Saccharomyces cerevisiae S288C: one gene and its partners. The gene in region 1 interacts genetically with each later gene. Each region holds a gene or a part of one and is shown on either strand. Other genes may lie near its edges.

The links. Genes that interact genetically often act in the same process or in processes that back each other up.
Region 2: mutations in MBP1 (region 1) and HSL1 together harm fitness more than expected from each alone (negative genetic interaction), as found in Saccharomyces cerevisiae (6 studies listed by BioGRID).
Region 3: mutations in MBP1 (region 1) and ELM1 together harm fitness more than expected from each alone (negative genetic interaction), as found in Saccharomyces cerevisiae (4 studies listed by BioGRID).

Annotation. Positions count from the first base shown.
Region 1 is NC_001136.10:349,430-355,878, forward strand, and holds MBP1 (transcription factor MBP1), read left to right. Parts: upstream 1-3,447; coding exon 3,448-5,949; downstream 5,950-6,449. Other genes in the region: USO1 (Uso1p), read left to right, coding at 1-1,608; YDL057W (uncharacterized protein), read left to right, coding at 2,005-2,991; PSA1 (mannose-1-phosphate guanylyltransferase), read right to left, coding at 6,245-6,449. UniProt on the Saccharomyces cerevisiae protein: Binds to MCB elements (Mlu I cell cycle box) found in the promoter of most DNA synthesis genes. Transcriptional activation by MBF has an important role in the transition from G1 to S phase.
Region 2 is NC_001143.9:247,042-257,143, reverse strand, and holds HSL1 (protein kinase HSL1), read right to left. Parts: upstream 8,225-10,102; coding exon 3,668-8,224; downstream 1-3,667. Other genes in the region: MTC2 (Mtc2p), read right to left, coding at 1-374; rRNA-processing protein UTP11, read left to right, coding at 672-1,424; YPF1 (aspartic endopeptidase), read left to right, coding at 1,684-3,447; YKL102C (uncharacterized protein), read left to right, coding at 8,777-9,082; metalloaminopeptidase APE1, read left to right, coding at 9,462-10,102.
Region 3 is NC_001143.9:343,547-350,852, reverse strand, and holds ELM1 (serine/threonine protein kinase ELM1), read left to right. Parts: upstream 1-1,716; coding exon 1,717-3,639; downstream 3,640-7,306. Other genes in the region: ANR2 (Anr2p), read right to left, coding at 1-1,390; centromeric DNA-binding histone H3-like protein CSE4, read left to right, coding at 4,089-4,778; LPX2 (Lpx2p), read left to right, coding at 5,233-7,306. UniProt on the Saccharomyces cerevisiae protein: Important role in G1 events required for bud emergence and septin organization. Coordinates cell growth and cell division at G2/M, essential for efficient cytokinesis and for regulation of SWE1.

The DNA.
Region 1 (6,449 bases):
GAAACGGTAAAAATTAAAGAATTACAAGACGAATGTAACTTTAAAGAAAAGGAAGTTAGTGAATTGGAAGACAAACTCAAGGCCTCAGAAGATAAGAACTCTAAATATTTGGAGCTACAGAAGGAATCGGAGAAGATAAAAGAAGAACTAGATGCTAAAACGACTGAACTAAAAATTCAATTGGAAAAGATCACTAATTTATCTAAGGCCAAGGAGAAATCAGAATCTGAGTTGTCTAGATTGAAGAAGACATCTTCTGAGGAAAGAAAAAATGCAGAGGAGCAATTGGAAAAATTGAAAAATGAAATACAAATCAAAAATCAGGCCTTCGAAAAGGAAAGAAAGCTACTTAATGAAGGATCTTCAACAATTACACAAGAATATTCTGAAAAGATCAATACTTTGGAAGATGAATTAATTAGGCTACAAAATGAAAACGAATTAAAAGCCAAAGAGATCGATAATACGAGGAGTGAACTAGAGAAGGTTAGTTTAAGCAATGATGAGCTTTTAGAAGAGAAACAAAACACAATAAAAAGCTTACAAGATGAAATTCTTTCATATAAAGACAAAATAACTAGAAATGACGAAAAGCTTCTATCAATAGAGCGAGATAATAAACGAGACCTGGAGAGCTTGAAAGAACAACTCCGGGCTGCACAAGAATCCAAAGCTAAAGTTGAAGAAGGGCTGAAAAAACTTGAGGAAGAATCTTCAAAAGAGAAAGCAGAGCTTGAAAAGTCTAAAGAAATGATGAAAAAGCTAGAGAGTACGATTGAGAGCAATGAAACGGAGTTGAAATCCTCAATGGAAACCATAAGGAAATCAGATGAAAAATTAGAACAGTCGAAAAAAAGTGCTGAGGAGGATATTAAAAACTTGCAACATGAGAAGTCAGATTTGATATCCCGAATCAACGAATCTGAAAAGGATATTGAAGAACTGAAAAGTAAACTGAGGATCGAAGCAAAATCTGGCTCTGAACTAGAAACCGTAAAACAAGAGCTAAATAACGCACAAGAAAAAATAAGGATCAACGCAGAAGAAAATACAGTTTTGAAATCTAAATTAGAAGATATAGAACGTGAACTCAAAGACAAGCAAGCCGAAATAAAAAGTAATCAAGAAGAAAAAGAATTACTAACTTCGCGCCTCAAGGAATTAGAACAGGAATTAGATAGCACCCAACAGAAGGCACAAAAATCCGAGGAAGAACGTAGGGCCGAAGTCAGGAAGTTTCAAGTCGAAAAGTCTCAACTTGATGAAAAAGCCATGTTGCTTGAAACTAAATACAACGATTTGGTGAATAAAGAGCAAGCATGGAAAAGGGATGAAGATACTGTTAAAAAGACAACCGATTCTCAGAGACAAGAAATTGAAAAGTTGGCTAAAGAACTGGATAACTTGAAGGCAGAGAACTCTAAGTTGAAGGAAGCTAACGAAGATCGTTCGGAAATTGATGACTTGATGCTCTTGGTTACTGACCTAGATGAGAAAAACGCCAAATATCGCTCAAAGCTGAAGGATTTGGGCGTTGAAATTAGTTCGGATGAAGAGGATGATGAAGAAGATGATGAAGAAGACGAGGAAGAAGGGCAAGTGGCATGATAGAGTTAAAATATGTGCATAAACAAATCGCTTGAACGATCTGTTTGATTATGTGGGCAGCACTACTTTTTTGTAATTATATATGCATATATACATTTTACTGACACTAAATGTTATATTTTCTATAACATCTAACATTACTTCACGCCTTCTAATTAAAGTATAGTTTGTGCAAACAATATGTGAGCTCACGTAGACAATTGTCTAATATATCATTAATGTCCCTTGCATAGAACTTCCTTTTTTTTTCTCAGCGTCGCAATATCTCTGTCGAGAAACGCTTACGCATTATAATAAGCCAAGGAAAAATAGCGAAAAGCCGATGCAGATCTACAGGAGTGATGAAAGTACTAAAAAGATCAGAAAAGGGAATATTTGTCAAATAACCAAGTCGAAATGGAAAAAAAACATGTCACTGTGCAAATACAAAGTGCTCCCCCCTCCTATATCAAATTGGAAGCAAATGAAAAATTCGTATATATTACAAGTACAATGAACGGCTTATCTTATCAAATTGCGGCTATAGTTTCATACCCAGAAAAGAGAAATTCATCAACTGCAAATAAAGAAGATGGTAAATTACTGTGCAAGGAAAATAAACTAGCATTGTTACTACACGGAAGTCAATCTCACAAGAACGCTATTTATCAAACTTTACTAGCAAAAAGGCTGGCCGAATTCGGATATTGGGTACTAAGAATAGATTTTAGGGGCCAAGGTGATTCCTCAGATAACTGCGACCCTGGCCTTGGTAGGACGCTCGCTCAGGATCTTGAAGATTTGAGTACAGTATACCAAACAGTATCTGACAGGTCTCTTAGGGTGCAATTGTACAAAACTAGTACAATATCACTGGACGTGGTTGTGGCACATTCTAGAGGATCTCTTGCCATGTTCAAATTCTGTCTAAAATTACATGCAGCTGAATCTCCATTACCGTCTCACCTGATCAATTGCGCTGGAAGATATGATGGGAGAGGACTTATTGAACGCTGCACACGACTGCACCCGCATTGGCAAGCAGAAGGTGGGTTTTGGGCGAATGGTCCACGAAATGGCGAATACAAAGACTTTTGGATACCATTAAGTGAGACTTATAGTATCGCTGGCGTTTGCGTTCCGGAATTTGCCACGATACCACAAACTTGTTCAGTAATGTCCTGCTATGGCATGTGTGATCACATAGTGCCAATTAGCGCAGCCTCAAATTATGCAAGGCTTTTCGAGGGCAGACATTCATTGAAACTTATTGAAAATGCGGACCACAATTATTATGGCATTGAAGGTGATCCCAACGCGCTAGGCTTACCGATAAGGAGGGGTAGAGTCAACTACTCACCACTAGTAGTTGATCTAATTATGGAATACCTGCAAGATACATAGACCATACAACTACATATTAATCTAAGATAAGTCTTGTGCTGAGTTTGGTCACTTTGCGGGATCACCCGCATAAAGTCGTCGGCATTGCAGTTTAAGATCAAATAGAGGCAATACTACGCTGTGAGACGATATTTCTGATCGTGATTAAACTGGTATTCCACATGTTCAGCATCCATTAGCCGTTAGAGATAATTCATTTACGTTCCTTTTTTCTCTTGCGCTTGAGATTGTTAGATTGTTAAATTACTACTGCTTTGTTTTTCCATCCGATTAGTATAATCAACAGATGAAAAAATGAAAAAAAGAAAACAAAATCAACATAACTTGCACAAGATTGAGCCATCGGAAAATAAAGCCCATTGTAATTCATATAACTAAACATCATATCAAGTGCGATTGGTCTGCAAAATCGTGCTTAACATTCCGAGACACAACGTAAATCCCAGAAACACAAGCATGTCTAACCAAATATACTCAGCGAGATATTCGGGGGTTGATGTTTATGAATTCATTCATTCTACAGGATCTATCATGAAAAGGAAAAAGGATGATTGGGTCAATGCTACACATATTTTAAAGGCCGCCAATTTTGCCAAGGCTAAAAGAACAAGGATTCTAGAGAAGGAAGTACTTAAGGAAACTCATGAAAAAGTTCAGGGTGGATTTGGTAAATATCAGGGTACATGGGTCCCACTGAACATAGCGAAACAACTGGCAGAAAAATTTAGTGTCTACGATCAGCTGAAACCGTTGTTCGACTTTACGCAAACAGATGGGTCTGCTTCTCCACCTCCTGCTCCAAAACATCACCATGCCTCGAAGGTGGATAGGAAAAAGGCTATTAGAAGTGCAAGTACTTCCGCAATTATGGAAACAAAAAGAAACAACAAGAAAGCCGAGGAAAATCAATTTCAAAGCAGCAAAATATTGGGAAATCCCACGGCTGCACCAAGGAAAAGAGGTAGACCGGTAGGATCTACGAGGGGAAGTAGGCGGAAGTTAGGTGTCAATTTACAACGTTCTCAAAGTGATATGGGATTTCCTAGACCGGCGATACCGAATTCTTCAATATCGACAACGCAACTTCCCTCTATTAGATCCACCATGGGACCACAATCCCCTACATTGGGTATTCTGGAAGAAGAAAGGCACGATTCTCGACAGCAGCAGCCGCAACAAAATAATTCTGCACAGTTCAAAGAAATTGATCTTGAGGACGGCTTATCAAGCGATGTGGAACCTTCACAACAATTACAACAAGTTTTTAATCAAAATACTGGATTTGTACCCCAACAACAATCTTCCTTGATACAGACACAGCAAACAGAATCAATGGCCACGTCCGTATCTTCCTCTCCTTCATTACCTACGTCACCGGGCGATTTTGCCGATAGTAATCCATTTGAAGAGCGATTTCCCGGTGGTGGAACATCTCCTATTATTTCCATGATCCCGCGTTATCCTGTAACTTCAAGGCCTCAAACATCGGATATTAATGATAAAGTTAACAAATACCTTTCAAAATTGGTTGATTATTTTATTTCCAATGAAATGAAGTCAAATAAGTCCCTACCACAAGTGTTATTGCACCCACCTCCACACAGCGCTCCCTATATAGATGCTCCAATCGATCCAGAATTACATACTGCCTTCCATTGGGCTTGTTCTATGGGTAATTTACCAATTGCTGAGGCGTTGTACGAAGCCGGAACAAGTATCAGATCGACAAATTCTCAAGGCCAAACTCCATTGATGAGAAGTTCCTTATTCCACAATTCATACACTAGAAGAACTTTCCCTAGAATTTTCCAGCTACTGCACGAGACCGTATTTGATATCGATTCGCAATCACAAACAGTAATTCACCATATTGTGAAACGAAAATCAACAACACCTTCTGCAGTTTATTATCTTGATGTTGTGCTATCTAAGATCAAGGATTTTTCCCCACAGTATAGAATTGAATTACTTTTAAACACACAAGACAAAAATGGCGATACCGCACTTCATATTGCTTCTAAAAATGGAGATGTTGTTTTTTTTAATACACTGGTCAAAATGGGTGCATTAACTACTATTTCCAATAAGGAAGGATTAACCGCCAATGAAATAATGAATCAACAATATGAGCAAATGATGATACAAAATGGTACAAATCAACATGTCAATTCTTCAAACACGGACTTGAATATCCACGTTAATACAAACAACATTGAAACGAAAAATGATGTTAATTCAATGGTAATCATGTCGCCTGTTTCTCCTTCGGATTACATAACCTATCCATCTCAAATTGCCACCAATATATCAAGAAATATTCCAAATGTAGTGAATTCTATGAAGCAAATGGCTAGCATATACAACGATCTTCATGAACAGCATGACAACGAAATAAAAAGTTTGCAAAAAACTTTAAAAAGCATTTCTAAGACGAAAATACAGGTAAGCCTAAAAACTTTAGAGGTATTGAAAGAGAGCAGTAAAGATGAAAACGGCGAAGCTCAGACTAATGATGACTTCGAAATTTTATCTCGTCTACAAGAACAAAATACTAAGAAATTGAGAAAAAGGCTCATACGATACAAACGGTTGATAAAACAAAAGCTGGAATACAGGCAAACGGTTTTATTGAACAAATTAATAGAAGATGAAACTCAGGCTACCACCAATAACACAGTTGAGAAAGATAATAATACGCTGGAAAGGTTGGAATTGGCTCAAGAACTAACGATGTTGCAATTACAAAGGAAAAACAAATTGAGTTCCTTGGTGAAGAAATTTGAAGACAATGCCAAGATTCATAAATATAGACGGATTATCAGGGAAGGTACGGAAATGAATATTGAAGAAGTAGATAGTTCGCTGGATGTAATACTACAGACATTGATAGCCAACAATAATAAAAATAAGGGCGCAGAACAGATCATCACAATCTCAAACGCGAATAGTCATGCATAAAATATACATAAATAGAGGAACTTTACATGTATCCATATACTGAAAAATAGATAAAACAATGAGATAATATTTATTAACTTCTACGTAAATAAAAAGTTACATAAGGATCAACCTTTTTTTCTTTATTTTCTTTTTTTTTTTTATTTTTCATTTTCAATTACAAACTAAGACATAACAGTAAGCAGTGCTTTTTCTGTGCATGTTTTCCTCTTTTTATAATGATATTGGCTAAAATAAAATTAACAAAAACAGATGAGTGATATAGATTATATTCATTACAGTTCGTTTTCCTAACTCACATAATAATAGCTTCCTTTGGAACATTATCGGAGATAGACTTATGAGGTAAGACTTTACCACCGTTGATGTAGATTTCGTCCTTAACTTCAACGTCGTCACCCAAGACAGTGACACCTTCCAAACGACACCATTGACCAACGGTAGAGTTCCAGCCTACGATGGTAGATTTGACCAAGGAGTGGTTCTTGATGGTGGAGTTG
Region 2 (10,102 bases), on another chromosome or scaffold:
CCTATAAATATACGTGTTGACTGTGCCTTCTCAATCGCCACTGTGCAATCTCTCATAATTTTTACTAATTTCGCTTGGTCTGGCTGTAAAAGAGAATTTATGTCTGGAATGATAACAATCTCAAATTCCTTAACATGTGTAGTTGCTAACGAGTCCAAGCTTGCAGTTGTTGAGTTCAGAACCGTGACCTTTATTCCTCCGCCCGGATAAGCGTCATTGATTGCCCTCTTCAGTTGTATATCACAAGTACTTGGCATCGAAGAGGCTAATTTTTCCTTTGAGACGCTGTCTCTATACATACATAGAAAGCTCTTTTTAGCTGTAACAGAAAACTTCAAACATGTCTGAAAATCCGGCAGATTATGATCGCCCATTCCTATTTTTGCCACATCCAATCAATAATTTTGCAGCTCCGATTTTGCAGGTGTTGCTGTTCAATGGAAGTAATCGTTGTTATAAAGGAGCACATCACCAAGTCCTCTAAGGCTTAAAGGTTTGTCGTTATGCACGTAAAAGATGAAATTTTTTTATGGCTAGATGAGCTCATCGCGATTTGAAGAAAAAGAGTAAAGAAAACAATGCTAAGAAACTACAATAAGAGCAAGTTGCATATCATCGAATAATACTAGTGGGGTTTTCTAGTTCGTTACAGCCAACAACAGACAAAAGATATGGCTAAACTTGTACATGATGTTCAGAAAAAGCAGCATAGAGAACGTTCTCAGCTAACTAGCCGTTCCAGATATGGGTTTTTAGAAAAGCATAAAGACTATGTGAAACGTGCTCAAGACTTCCACAGGAAGCAGTCCACTTTGAAAGTCCTCAGAGAAAAAGCAAAAGAGAGAAATCCAGATGAATACTACCATGCTATGCATTCAAGGAAGACAGATGCAAAAGGACTGCTGATCAGCTCACGTCACGGTGACGAAGAAGACGAATCGCTTTCCATGGATCAAGTTAAATTACTCAAAACGCAAGATAGTAATTATGTGAGGACGCTGAGGCAAATAGAGCTGAAAAAGCTGGAGAAAGGAGCGAAACAGTTGATGTTCAAAAGCAGTGGGAATCATACAATATTCGTCGATTCCCGAGAGAAGATGAACGAATTCACCCCAGAGAAGTTTTTCAATACCACCTCCGAGATGGTGAATAGATCTGAAAATAGATTAACTAAGGACCAATTAGCCCAAGATATTTCAAACAATAGGAACGCTTCATCAATAATGCCAAAGGAATCATTAGACAAAAAGAAATTGAAAAAGTTCAAGCAAGTCAAGCAGCACTTACAGAGGGAAACTCAATTGAAACAGGTCCAACAAAGAATGGATGCTCAAAGAGAATTGTTGAAGAAGGGTTCCAAGAAAAAAATCGTAGACTCTTCAGGAAAAATTTCATTTAAATGGAAGAAACAACGGAAACGTTAGATTTTTACCATCTATATAGTATATATAAGTGAATCAGGCAGACGTTCCGTAATCCTTCTTTTCATGTTTTATAGGATTACGTTTATAAAAAGTATTCACTTTTCTTAAGTGTCTTTTGCGCCATCAAAAAAAAAAGGATTTTGAGGCACCGGAAAAAAAAGAACCCCTCTCCGAATGGGAGTATTTAGGACAAGATTTGTAAAGTGCTCCCTTTTTGAGCAATACTACAGATCTATAATGGGGAACAAACTCATACACGATGGACAAGTATTTGAATTCATTTGTTGACCACCTTTCAGAGTGGTCATCTCGTGCCTTTAGGAACAATTCATCAAGCGCTAACCAAAGTGCGTCGAACAAGGAATTAGAACAAGTTTTTGAACAGATCAATGCTATAGTTGAAAACCACAATAACAAATTAACCACTGCCTTTGATAAGATATCATATCGCGTTGCTCACAAGATTACACACTTGGTGGAAAGCCATTCTTTAGTATTCAACTACGCCACTTTAGTTCTCATCGCAAGTGCTTTGGTCGTTATTGGCTCATTTACGTCTATTTCTTCTATTCCATTTACAGCTCTACCTCCTACGAGAGAACACTCATTGTTTGATCCTACAGATTTTGATGTGGACCACGACTGTCATGTTATCTACCGCGAGAATGACGAAGATAAAAAGAAAAAGAAGAAAAGCAAGAGGTTTTTCGATATGATGGATGAAAAACATGCGATTATACTGCCCTTAACTAGTGGCTGTACTTTACTCGCTCTCTATTTTGTGATCAAGAAACTACACCTAAACTGGCTAAAATATGTGGTGAAAATTTTGAATTTTAATATAACACTGCTAAATATCCCAGCTGGCACATTTGTCTACTCCTACTTTCTCAACTCACTTTTCAGAAACCTATCACATTTAGCTTCTTGGAATCCCCTGGTTGTTTTACCAAGGTATCGTGTAACAATAGCTGATGATAACGAAGACCTGAACAAGATAGGCGGGTTTGTTACCAATTTGAATTACAAAGATGGATTGACCAACTCAGTTGTTCACAAGAAAACATTGGATGAGATTGAAAAAGATCATTGGATGAAGCATTTTTACAGAAGAGAATTAGTTGAACCGAAGGATATTAAATCGAAGAGGCAGATCAGCAACATGTATTTGAATAGCGCATTAATTGTTTCGTTCGTTCTGTCCATCGTTTCTACCGTATATTTCTATTTATCACCCAATGATTGGTTAATATCCAATGCTGTCAGTATGAATATGGCTATTTGGTCCATTGCTCAATTAAAATTGAAGAATTTAAAATCAGGGGCCCTAATCCTAATTGCTCTATTTTTTTACGACATTTGCTTTGTCTTTGGTACCGATGTAATGGTTACAGTAGCTACTAACCTTGATATTCCCGTAAAACTAAGCTTACCAGTCAAGTTTAATACAGCTCAAAACAACTTCAATTTTTCAATACTTGGTCTGGGTGATATTGCCTTGCCTGGTATGTTTATTGCGATGTGCTACAAATATGACATCTGGAAGTGGCACCTTGATCATGATGACACTGAATTCCACTTTTTGAACTGGTCATACGTTGGAAAATATTTTATTACTGCTATGGTTAGTTACGTTGCTTCTTTGGTATCTGCCATGGTCTCCTTGTCCATTTTCAATACTGCTCAACCGGCTTTATTATACATTGTTCCTTCCTTGTTGATTAGTACTATTTTGGTAGCTTGCTGGAACAAGGATTTTAAGCAGTTTTGGAATTTTCAGTATGATACGATTGAAGTGGATAAAAGTTTAAAAAAAGCGATAGAAAAAAAGGAGAACTCTATAACTTATTCGACCTTCATCCTATCAGAATACTATAATGATGCCGACAAGTATGCCTTGCTTGGTGATGATGTAAACGAAAATTTTGACGATGATGAAGAATTCGTGCAAGAGGAAGATCTCAGTGACAGCTCTGAGGAAGAGCTTTCTGAAGAAGATCTCTTGGATGACGAATCTTCTTGAGCTCCAAAAGAAACGACAGCTCTTTTTACCCCTCCAGGGTTGTATTTATCTTCTAATCTAGGACAATGTTTGTAAAACCCTCTTTCTTTCCTTCGTGTCTCATGTCTCTCCATTTATTAATGTTCTTTTAAACTATGTTTTCTCACGCCTGTCCATTCGGTTCTCGTACGTTAAATTTTTCAAATTATTGTTGTATAATTATATAACATCTATATAGAATTTATGAACGTCCGGCATTTCGAATTACTCTCTCCACATCATCATTAAACTTTTCAAAGGCTTTATTGGAACTTGTGTTTGAATGTTTGCTTCTTTTTTTTACAGTAATTACCGTAGATGCATTGGGTGTGCTAGTAATCTTGATTTTGAATTTGAAGTTGCCTTTTACAAATTTACAATCGTATTCCACCACCTTTCTCCCAAATTTGTGATCTAGGTTCTTTAATTGATAGTCGATACTATTCTTGTTGAATTCATTTAATGTTAGCATATGCGCATCATCAAATGATATATTCGTTACATGATTCTTGGATGCCTTAGTAGCATTATTATGAGAAGAAAAGTTTTGAAATAGTTTGACGAACCAATTCTTTTTATCACTGGAAGGCGCTTCTTCAACTTCAACATTTTGGACACTTTTTAGAATTGGCTTTTTTGTATGGGTTTGTGTATTTGATTCCATAGCGGTATCCTTCGTAACTTTAATCGTTGAGGGTTTTGGTATTTTAGAGTAGTTATTTTCTGTATTATTTGCATTTTCCTTTTTTTCAACCACCGGCAACACAAGTTGAGAAGATTCCTCGGATATTTTATTGTCTAGCTTGGTATGCTCTTCTTTAATTTTTCCCCCACCTACTTTTTTAGATTCTTCCTCCTCCTCATCGAAAAGCATTGTCACTCGTTGTTTTGGATTAACGCTTTCCTCAGATGGTCTTCGCTTTGAATAGCTCATACTTGATTCAAGAATATCAGCTTGAGAAGTATGCCCATCTTGATCTTCCTCCAAATCTTTGAACATTGACTGTAAACTTTGAGAAATGCCTAATGCATTACTATCACGACTACCACGCGTGGAAGAAAACCTCTTTTGCATATGTGTATTAGAAGGATTTTCTGGTGACAATCTAAGTTTAGAAAGTATCTCTTCAGTAGTCTCTCTGGGTATACCAGAACTGTTATTATTCCAATAAAGACTTACTCTAACATTTGTCGCGGGAGTAAGAACGTTTGTTGTCGCCATAGTGTCAATAGATACCGCTTTCCTATGCACACTTGCTCGTGAATCGCTTTCTGAAGAAGATGTATTTAATGAACCCTCATCGGAGGGCGCATCTTCAAAAATATTAATGGCTTTTTCATCATATGTGTTTGGTATAGTATAATCTGGAATATAATTAGTATCGCTATTATCTGGTTCTTTTTCCTTCGAGATATAGGCTGCCGATTTGATTACTTTTTCTTTTGTAAAAGAAGATGCTTTGGGCGAAGTATTGATTTTATTATTGTCCGTGTCGTTGTTCATCAGTTGAATCGCCTGAGCGGTAAAGGTGTTTGTTGGTATTTCCATCGCAAATGTCATATCAGAGATTCCATCCAGATCATTACTCAAATAGGAGCCAGGTGAGCCCTGATTACGTTTAACGGATAAATTGGCGTTCAAATTAGACCGTGGAGTTAGAGATATTTTGGCAGATTGTTTTCGCAAAGGGTGTGACATGGCTACACTTCTAGATTGGTTCTGTGGCACACTTAGATGCTTATCATCACCGTCATCAGCGAGTATCTGGCTAAGATTTTTGAACGTCATAGATGTGTTCAAAAAACTAGAAGGTAAAGACAGCATTGGTTTTTGAATTGTACTAGATTCTGCTAAAACACTGGGATCTCTCGAAGATGTTGCTACTGTTGTTAAAGGTACATATGAACTTTCGATTGAAACATCTGAGGCTTTGACTGGTTTTTCGTCTTCCACATGTTCACTCATGAACAAGGAACCTCTCTCATGGGTCCAGTGAGAGGCTGGCTCCTTTTTGAATTTCAGTCCCTGCAATAGTGATTCCACTTTTGAATTCACTGGCTGGGAGATGTTACGGCGGGGATCTAGAGATAAGGACGGTTTACCTTGATCATTAGGCAAAGAATTTACACGAAGTTCTTGGTGCTGAATAGGTTTGAGTGGTGACGGGCGGTCATTTTTTTTTTGAAGTTGTTCTCTTTGAATCTTTTTTTCTATCCTCATACCTTCCTGTTTATTCATTTTATTGAATGAGTTCGTGATATCTGAAAGGGCCGCTCTCTTTGGCTTCTGTTCTTCCAAATAACTTGAGCTTAACGTGTTTTCTTTTTCAAAGATAGGAAATGAAGAGAGCCCTGACATATTCTCAGATGGTTTATATGACATATTGAATTGATTTTTCTCAATTTTGGTTGGATACTCCGGGCCCTCATTTTCCTTATTTGTAGACACCCCAGAGATCGTAAAAGTGTCTGCCGAAGATTTTGTATCGTTTTGCCTCTGTCTTTGGGTGTCGCGTTCTTTTTCATTGTCCTCTTCCTCTTCGAGTATCCTATCTAAGGCGTTTCCAAATAAGATCTGATCGCATAAGATCTCAAAATCAGAGTCTGATTCCAACGAATGGGGTTCTGATTTATTCACATTTTCGGATGCTGGTTTCTTACTAGGGAGAGGATCGTCAAAGACTAATAAATCATTCAGGTTCAAGGAACGTTTTGAAATTGACTGTAATGAGTATAAGGATCTCTTTGAAGCCGAGTTTTGTAGTGTTCTTCTAGCGGCAACAGTTGCAGCTATATTCTTCCTCGAAAGTGATTTATGTATTGATTTAGTAGATGGGGAGGCGTGGATTGCCCTTCTTGACAATGAATATCTTGAAGGCGACTTCGGCAGTTGAGGTAGAGGCATCTCATTATCATGCACAGTTTCTCTAGAAGTTGAAGCGGACAATGATAATCTGGAATTCGATAAGCGTAGCGATCTTCTCGAACGTGATGAAATAGAGGTGTATGAGTTACGGAAAATCCTTGATGAAGAAGCATTGAATATGGGAATAGCGGGTGGTAATGTTACAGCTTCTGCTTCAGCCTTATCACTTTCAGGTTGACTGAGCGTATTGATACTAAATTGCGATTTTTGTGCCAATACAGGGGCATTAATTTCTGTATTAACCCCTGTAATTGCGTTGTTCTGATTCACTGTTGAAGTATCTTCTGAATGAATTTCTAGAGAATGTAAAGTCTTCACATCATTGTTCTCGCTCCTTAGGCCTGTATTATTGGCAGTTTTGGATGCGTATTCAATCCTAGGTTCATTTACGCTACTTTCTGTTGCTGATTTCTTGTTTTCGCTTGACGAGGACAATGATATTGAGTGACGTTGTTTATATTGTAATAACAGTGAGTAGAATAGTTTTTCCTCCGACATTGGCTTTTGAAGCAACTTGGCAGTGATTAGTTCACGAGAAACTCCATGCCACAAAATTTGCAAACTCCTCAAGATGGATTCATCAATTTCCCCTTTTGAATGTAAAGTTACAATAGAGGGCGAGACATTATTTAGCAAATGCAAATCCGAGTTAGATTTTCCCCTCGCCATGTTATCCTTTCTCATTTTCCTCAGCACTTTATTAACTGGGAGATCATCATATTTTTTGATCAGAGGATGCTTCAATATCTCTTGAGTGGTAATTCTTTTTTCTGGATCAATTACCAATATTTTTGATATCAAATCACGAGCCTCAGAAGATAAATTTGAGGGCATTTGATATTTGCCCGATTGAACTTTCAACAACAGCTTTTTGATGTTGTCATCATTAAATGGTAAATGACCGGTGAGTAATGCAAATAAAACGATACCGCAGGACCAGACATCGCTAGGACCGCCATGATATGGTCTACCCATAACAATTTCAGGAGACGCATAGTGTGGAGAGCCACATGAAGTTTTTAAAAGTTTATTAGGAAGCTCTAATGCTGCCATGCCGAAATCAGCAATTTTGATTCTCCTATTCTTTTTATCTAATAATAAATTTTCAGGCTTCAGATCACGATGGCATATATTAAAAGAATGACAATAGGAAACACCTTCAACTATCTGCTTGAAGTAATGGATAGCCTCCCTTTCAGGTAGCTTTCCCTTCGAGACCAGATAATCGAATAATTCGCCACCATCAACATATTCCAAAACTAGGTACAGCTCTGATTTGTTCTCCCAAACTTCAAACAATGCCATAACGTTTGTGTGAGATATCAATTTCATGATTACTATTTCTCTCTCTATGCCATATGGGTTCGTTTGAGAATGGTTACTATGTTCTCTAGATGCTATTGATGGAGAAGATACATTGGAAGTGACCATGGAAGAAGAGTAAGAATTAGGAACAGTTCCATTATTAGAACAATGAACAAAGGCTTTCTTCTTGGGGACAATTTTAATGGCAGCTAATTGTCCTGTTTCCATATTTTTAGCCAAGCGAACCCTACCAGAAGATCCCTTCCCCAATGTTTTGCCAAGTTTCCAAGGACCCACCGTGTCTCTGGATTTTCTCTTTGATGATTTTGTAGCAACACTTACGGTAGAGTCGGGCTGAGATAATCTTTTGGTAGCGTCGTTCACAGATTGTACAACACGCTCCAAATGCCCCGACGCCCTTTTTGGATTCGAATTTACTTTGGCCATGGCCCTTTTAGCTGCCTTCTTGGCCAATGAAGACGGGCGACCTTTGGGTACGTGGCTCGTTTTTGAAACGTGACCAGTCATGTCGTGTGGTAAAAATAAAAAATATTAATAACAAATAATAAAGGAGTGAATATAGTTGGTTGTTGATTTATTTATCAGTATTTTTTGTCCCGCAAATCTATGTCGTTCTTTTTACCTTGTCTTTCTTGTAATTTTATTATTTATCTCTTTTCGCGATTAGTAGCAAGTAGTATGATGGATATCCAACCTATTTGATGATCTATTTGAGTTCAACTCTCTGTTTTAATGGCCTCTCGCTGTCCAATTTACGTCCTTGCAGTCGGATAACTAGCGAACTTACGATCCAAAGGGAGTTTTAAGAAGAAACAGGTTTCGAGCAAAAGGTAACTTGCTTATATTAAGAACGCCAATAAGAGTGGCCACTATAATGCTGCTCCCAGCCGGTACAAGACGGTACGGTACGTGATGGAGATTAGTTTTCACTATTTAGCCCAAACAACCCAACGCGAAAATGACCACGCGAAAAGAAAAATTAGTAAAAATATTTCACAACGCGAAAAATAAGGACGAAGGCAACACATTCCACCTTCCCTGTTATTGTAAAACGCACAAATGTGTGCTTTATTCGCTGAGGTTTCATCGACAGCTGCAGCCAGTTGTTCATTCGGTGTTCTCTTGTGCAGCGGCTCAAATTGTGGCAGGCTTGTAGGCTCCGAACGCCGTAAGGTACTTTATGTTTTTAATGTCAACGTTTGCAAGAAAATGTCATCCTATTACTTTCTGAGGCATGATAACATTGTAATCCCTTATCTCTTGCGCTTGTTGGTATCAGATAAAGAAGCATCAAACAAGAACCCACTCCTTCCTTTTCTCATGGATAAAGAGAGGTCGCACCATTTCGTGAGGAATATGAATTAGTCAGCTTCTACTTTAGGGTATAGGTTGCAAACTTCCGTTTTTCTCAAGGTTTAATCAGAAGCATAATAGGTCTTCGGATGATTTCTTGTCTAATTCAAAAAAAAAATAATCTGGGATAGGTTTTTCGGGAAAAACAACTAGGGGTGATGCTGTTTTGCACCTCTATTACTGTAAGATAGGCTATGCAAGCAAACGACAGTAAGAAAGAATAGGGTTAAGTGAAATAGTTGACACACCCCTTAATCGTTCCATTAGATAATAAAAATTCATTTATAAGCAGTTGACTTCACAGAACAAGACATACACTGTATAGAGCCTGATCAGTAATCTTAGTGCAATTGTAGAAACCTGCACAACCAACAAAATTAAGAAAAAAAGAATGGAGGAACAACGTGAAATACTGGAACAATTGAAGAAAACTCTGCAGATGCTAACTGTAGAGCCATCTAAAAATAACCAAATCGCCAACGAAGAAAAGGAAAAGAAAGAAAATGAAAATTCGTGGTGCATCCTCGAGCACAATTATGAGGATATTGCACAGGAATTCATTGATTTCATTTACAAGAACCCTACCACTTACCATGTAGTATCATTTTTCGCGGAGCTGTTAGATAAGCATAACTTCAAATACTTGAGCGAGAAATCCAATTGGCAGGACTCCATTGGCGAAGATGGTGGGAAATTCTACACTATAAGAAATGGAACTAACCTATCTGCCTTTATCCTGGGCAAAAACTGGAGAGCCGAAAAGGGTGTCGGTGTCATTGGATCTCATGTGGACGCTTTGACGGTCAAATTGAAGCCCGTCTCCTTTAAAGACACAGCGGAAGGTTACGGAAGAATTGCTGTTGCTCCCTATGGAGGTACACTGAATGAATTGTGGCTAGACAGAGACCTAGGTATTGGTGGTCGCCTTCTTTACAAGAAGAAGGGCACTAACGAAATTAAAAGCGCCTTGGTTGATTCTACACCCCTACCTGTTTGTCGAATTCCTTCCTTGGCTCCCCATTTCGGTAAACC
Region 3 (7,306 bases), on another chromosome or scaffold:
AATCAATATTTTCACTTTTTTGTATGACATCCTTCAGATCGTTGTACAGATTTGATGTTCTGCGGTGAAAATAGCGAACTAAATTTTCAGCGATCTGTATTTCTGAATTGTTGGGTTCTGGGCCAGAAACGTGCCTCGGAATCTTGAAATTATTTGCAAGGTGATATGGCGCTACCAGATAGCCTGCAGTAGTTAAAAGAAAAAACCCATCAATTAAAAACTGTAGCCATGATATGGGTTCTGTCACCTCATGATGTCGACATGTCGCATTTGTAGAGGCATCCTCTTGTAACTCCCCCAGTATAAGTTTTTCATACACCTCTAAGTCAAGAGGAGTTGCTTTGTTTTGTTCACCAGATGCGGTAAGAATTTCCACTTCTTTTTCTGGTGATTCTTCTATAGTTGAGCTCGAAGTAAGTTTGACTACTATGTCGTAAATTTCAGGCTTATACAACAAAATTTCCTCGCTGGTCGTAGCCACATAACCGTTCCCCTTTTTGAACGACTCTAGAAAAGGAATATCTGATGTTGATACCGTGAAAATAGGCTTAATATATTCATCGCTTACATGGTTTCCTATCAAGTTTTTTGGAAGCATTGATATTAAGAAGACACAATAGGCCAAAGAATTGCACAATTCGAACGATTCTCCTTGAGGAACTAGTATCAATATCCTTGACTGAAGGAGACTTGCTTTCCAAAGTGGAAATATGAGAGGCCCTAACTTCCTTGTCCAGTATGGCAAATATTCAACCAAATGCCGTCTTTCTTTGGGTGAATGTTCAAAGACTTCTACTGAATTTTCAGCCATGTGCCCTTGGTTATTCTCGTCAAAAAACTTTTCAAAAATATCAAACTTATCAAGATCACGCTGCCTTATCCATTGACCGAGTAAACTTTCTAGATAGCTTGAGTATCTGTTGGCAGCATACGCATGGTATATTTCCTTATAAAAGTGCTTTTTACTATCTGATGAGGCATTTTGGACATCGATAATTACACCAAGAGAAAACATTTGAACTTTACTCCTATCAATACGATTGTCATTCTCAATAATATCGAACGAATTTTGTTTGAAATAGGCGATGCCGTAATCATAAGTTGTCGTCTTGGCAGTTTGACAGACATCTAATTCTTTAGGAACTACAAAATTGACAACATCGTCAGTTTGTTCGTGAATACCGGCTGGTAACGATTTAAATTCAATATTGCTTAAGTCAATTGCCGCACCATTAATACTTTTAGACCATATTATGATATTTCCCTTTTTCATGTCAAATTTACTTAAGAAGATGCAAGCAATTCCCGGTTTTTCACCATTTGAGTTTAAAAGTTGAGTAATATTAAATACATTTGGCTTTATAGTTGGTTCTTCACCTCCGGAATTCATAGTGCTTCGAGGAACTTACTTGATCCTTCTTGAAGTAGCTATTAAGTTGTTCGAAATGAAGTAATTATTAAAATAGAAGTAAATCATTAAATGATGCCGCTCAACAGAGGTTATGCCAAATTAGTATATAGCATGATTTTACATCACTTTAAACGTATAATTTGTGAATGATGAGGTAGCAACAAATAAACAATGCAACAGTCTCTAGTCCTATGAACTAATTTGGCCTTGAAAACCCCCCGATGATACTTCTTTAGGTGTTACAAACTTACTCGCATAGATATTATTTTTTGAACGCCAGGTTAACAATAATTACTTAGCATGAAATGTCACCTCGACAGCTTATACCGACATTAATTCCGGAATGGGCACCATTATCCCAGCAATCGTGCATAAGAGAGGATGAGTTAGATAGTCCCCCGATAACGCCTACGAGCCAGACATCTTCATTTGGTTCTTCTTTTTCTCAACAGAAACCAACCTATAGTACAATTATAGGAGAAAATATACACACGATCCTGGATGAAATTCGACCATATGTGAAAAAAATAACTGTTAGTGACCAAGATAAGAAAACTATAAACCAATATACGCTAGGAGTCTCTGCAGGAAGTGGACAATTTGGTTATGTACGAAAAGCGTACAGTTCTACTTTAGGCAAGGTTGTTGCTGTCAAGATTATACCAAAAAAACCTTGGAATGCCCAGCAATATTCAGTAAATCAAGTAATGAGGCAAATCCAGCTTTGGAAGAGTAAAGGAAAAATAACGACAAATATGAGTGGTAATGAGGCTATGAGACTTATGAATATCGAAAAATGTAGGTGGGAAATTTTTGCGGCTTCAAGACTTCGAAATAATGTTCATATTGTGCGACTAATAGAATGCTTGGACTCTCCTTTCAGCGAATCTATCTGGATAGTCACTAATTGGTGCAGCCTTGGTGAACTACAGTGGAAACGTGACGATGATGAAGATATTTTACCGCAATGGAAAAAAATTGTGATTTCAAATTGTAGTGTTTCTACATTTGCCAAAAAAATCCTGGAGGATATGACAAAAGGGTTGGAATATTTGCATTCTCAGGGTTGTATTCATCGTGATATCAAACCGTCCAATATTTTATTGGATGAAGAAGAAAAAGTAGCGAAACTTTCTGATTTTGGAAGTTGTATTTTCACTCCCCAATCATTACCTTTCAGCGATGCTAATTTTGAAGATTGTTTTCAGAGGGAATTGAACAAAATTGTTGGTACTCCGGCATTTATTGCACCAGAGCTATGTCATTTGGGCAATTCCAAAAGAGATTTTGTGACGGATGGCTTTAAGTTGGATATTTGGTCATTGGGAGTGACACTATACTGCTTACTGTACAACGAGCTGCCATTTTTCGGGGAAAATGAATTCGAAACCTACCACAAAATCATCGAAGTATCATTGAGTTCCAAAATAAATGGTAATACTTTAAACGATTTAGTCATTAAAAGGTTATTGGAGAAAGACGTTACTTTACGCATAAGTATTCAGGATTTAGTAAAGGTTTTGTCGCGTGACCAGCCCATAGATTCTAGGAATCACAGTCAAATTTCATCGTCCAGTGTGAACCCCGTAAGAAACGAAGGTCCTGTAAGAAGATTTTTTGGTAGGCTACTGACTAAAAAAGGAAAGAAAAAGACCTCAGGAAAAGGGAAAGACAAGGTATTGGTATCTGCAACTAGTAAAGTAACACCTTCGATACATATCGACGAGGAACCGGATAAAGAATGTTTTTCGACTACGGTCCTTAGATCTTCGCCAGACTCGAGCGATTATTGTTCATCGTTAGGGGAGGAAGCCATTCAGGTTACGGATTTCTTAGATACTTTTTGTAGGTCAAATGAAAGCTTACCTAATTTGACTGTGAATAATGATAAGCAGAATTCGGACATGAAAACTGACAGAAGCGAGTCATCCTCTCATTCGTCATTGAAAATCCCAACACCTATCAAAGCCATGATAAGACTAAAGAGTTCCCCTAAAGAGAACGGGAACAGAACCCATATTAATTGCTCACAGGACAAACCGAGTTCCCCACTAATGGATAGGACTGTTGGAAAGCGCACGGTTAACAATTCAGGGGCTAGAAAGCTTGCTCATTCAAGTAATATTCTCAACTTTAAAGCATACATAAATTCGGAAGATAGTGACATTCGAGAAACAGTAGAAGATGTAAAAACGTATCTGAACTTTGCAGATAATGGTCAAATATAGATGAAACTACAGGATGATATCTGTCGGATTGGGTTAGCTGATAATCGTATAGCCGATGTGAAATATGATTATTAATTGATTTACTTGGTTATGGTAAATACATAAATATATATATAGAAACGGCAAATTACCCACATTTGCATTTGTATTAATAACACTAAAGATAATATTCATAATATACCATCATTGATAATTGAAATCGACATCAACATTTATCAATTGAGAGTTTAGTGGTCTTCTATTGCGAGAATATCGAACGATATGATTTATCTTGATCCCACTGTGTCGCGAAATCGCGGAAGTAAATTGAAAACAAAAGAAAAACAAAACTTCATCGATAAATATTGAGAAAACATCTCTTAAAAACAGTAGTAGATAATCTTGAGAATTTACTTTATAAAAAACAGAAGAAGGACTGAATATAGAAAGAATACTAATATAACATAATCATGTCAAGTAAACAACAATGGGTTAGTTCTGCTATTCAAAGTGATTCGAGTGGAAGATCACTCAGTAACGTCAACAGGCTTGCAGGAGACCAACAATCTATTAACGATCGTGCGTTATCGTTATTGCAGAGAACAAGAGCGACAAAGAACCTGTTTCCAAGAAGAGAGGAAAGAAGACGTTATGAAAGCTCAAAAAGTGACCTAGATATCGAAACAGACTACGAAGACCAAGCAGGTAATCTAGAAATCGAGACAGAAAATGAAGAAGAAGCTGAAATGGAAACTGAAGTACCTGCACCAGTGCGAACTCATTCATATGCCTTAGACAGATATGTTAGACAGAAAAGGAGGGAAAAACAAAGAAAGCAGAGCTTAAAGCGCGTCGAAAAGAAATATACTCCTAGTGAATTAGCTCTGTACGAAATTCGAAAATACCAACGTTCCACGGATTTATTAATCTCCAAAATTCCATTTGCAAGGCTAGTGAAAGAAGTTACAGACGAGTTTACAACTAAAGATCAGGATTTACGTTGGCAGTCAATGGCGATTATGGCGTTACAGGAAGCAAGCGAAGCGTATCTGGTAGGATTATTGGAACATACAAACCTCTTGGCGCTGCATGCAAAAAGAATTACTATAATGAAGAAAGACATGCAACTAGCAAGAAGAATCAGGGGACAGTTTATTTAGTGATATTTGTGCTTCAGGGCTGGAGCCGATTTTTCCCTTTTTCGGGGTTTATATTGACTTAAGGTACTTTAAATGTTTTAAATAAGGTTATTATAAGGTCATATTAGCATACCTTTCGGTTCGACAAGTGCTCTCCGCTGTTGACAGTTTTTTTTTCATGTTCACTTGTTGGCTTTGTAAGACATTTTTGGCAGTCCCCTATATTTCGCGATGAAGCTCCAAATCAAAGGTTAAGGGTAGAGGTTATTTCTTTTTCAGACTGATTAAGGGATACTTCTGCAGGATATACATGATGGAAAATGATGCACTCAAAGATGGTATTTAACACATGAAAATCTTCATAGAAAGCACCATGTTTTCTACAATGTCTAAACAAAAGTGATCACATGAGTTCAAATCAGTAGTTTTAGAGTGTGATTGACAATAAAACTTTAGGAACAAGTACAATACTATAATGTCACTAATATCTGCGTTGCAAACCACCGATGTGGAATCTGTCCAGACGTCCCCTGAGCAAATTACTGAAAGAAAGGCGGTTAGAGTATCCACTTTGCAAGAATCGCTACATTCTTCTGAAATGCATCGCGCTGCTCCAGAAACACCTCGCTCAATTTCAAATAGCGTTCACAAACTGAAAACTATATATTCTACTTACCAGCAGAGTGGACAACCATTGAGTAAAGAGGCGATATTCCGTGCGAAACAGAAGTATGGCATTTTGAATACTCCGGCTAATTACAAAACACTTGGTTTAGGAGACTCCAAGAGTGAGTCAGTTGATCTTGCGGCCCGTTTAGCTAGTAAGAGAACGAAAGTCTCGCCTGATGACTGTGTCGAAACAGCAATCGAGCAAAAGGCCAGAGGTGAGGCTTTCAAAGTAACCTTTTCCAAGATTCCATTGACCCCGCCTGAAGACGTCCCAATAACGGTCAATTTAGGTCTGAAGGGAAGGCGTGATTTTTTAACAAGATTAGCTGCACAAAAAGCATTGGCTTTCAGTCCTTCTTTAGACAATTCCATGAAGGGCACCTCCGACAGTTCCAGTGTTAAAAAAAAGAGGTTTTCTGGTGCCCCTATTGGTAATGAGTTTGATGCAAACTTAGTTAATCCACAGCACCCTGCAGGTTTCAAATCCCTCGATTTATCTAAGGTATTGGATGGAGCGGAAAGAAGGGCGATTAGCAGAGTTAATGACAGGTTGTATCCCCAAAAGGTAAACTTTAAAAATGGATTACAAAGCAGCGATCAAAGTGGTGTATCAAAAGCTAACAAAGAAGTTTTTAAGAAAGGAACTTTGGAAAAACTTGAACATTCCGCAGAGCAGTTCTTAGAGTCTCATGCTGGTAATGAAAGACAAAGGCTAAGTGATCAACAATATATGTGTGCAAAGGGTGCAGCTGATGCAGTTAAAGATCTTGACCCGAAGACATTGGAAGACCCAGATTTTGCTGCAAGAGAGGCACAAAAGAAACTGTACATAAAGCAGGTAGCATCTCCGGTAGTGCTAAATGAAGCTCAAAAGCTTGCGAATAGGAAATTGCAGGATATTGACTCGCGCGATACTTACATGCTTTTATTTGGTAACCAAGCTTACAATAAGCTTGCTGTTAACATAGCTCTACAGCACTATTCTGTTAAACAAGAAGAAAAAAAGAAAATATATTTGGGTGGTGGTTTGTGGATGACTCCAGAAGAGGTTAACGCAGTCGCCAAAAAGTTGATATCACCAGTGGTGAACGAAATTGATGAACGAGCCAGCAGACAACGTGATGTTGATAAAGATATTGAGAGAAGGTCAAGAGTTCTTGATCAGGAATATGAGGATGGGAATTCTATGGAACGTGCAAAAGAGCAAAACGACGGGCAATTATTGTTAGCGATGGCTTCAAAACAACAACAGGAGAAAGAAGCTAAAAAGGCCGAGGAGGGACAACGGTATGATCAGTTCGTACAAAAGATGAATATCAAATTACAGCAGAAGGAAAAAGAACTTGAAAATGCTAGGGAAAATCGTGAAAATCTAAGAAACGAACTACAGGAAAGGTTGTCCAAGAACCTGTCAGGAGAGAATGATGAATTGAATGATTGGAACGATGCATGTGAAAGAGATCTCAAAAATTCGAGCATTGAACACTATTATGCCGTCAGATCACACTTTGACAATTTGGGAAATTCGGAAAGAGGGTATGATGAGCTTTTGGAGGAGCGCAGCAAAATACAGGTAGAAATCGAAAGACTTGTCGCTTCCATTGCTGAACATAAAACTGCAATCCATGGTTTTGGGGAAACAGCAGATGCTGGTGGAGCTATACCAGCTGTACAGAAACAGAAAATTCCAACAAGGAAGGACCTTCTTGATGCTACCGTGAATGATCCTTTGGTTATTTCTGCAGAAATGGCAAAAGAAGAAGCAGAAATGGCTACAGAAGAATGTATGTTGAAAGAATTACAGGTAGATGAAATGATTATAATCAGGAACATTATGCTGCGGGAGTGTGAAAAGAAGCTCGAAGAGGAGAAGGAAACGG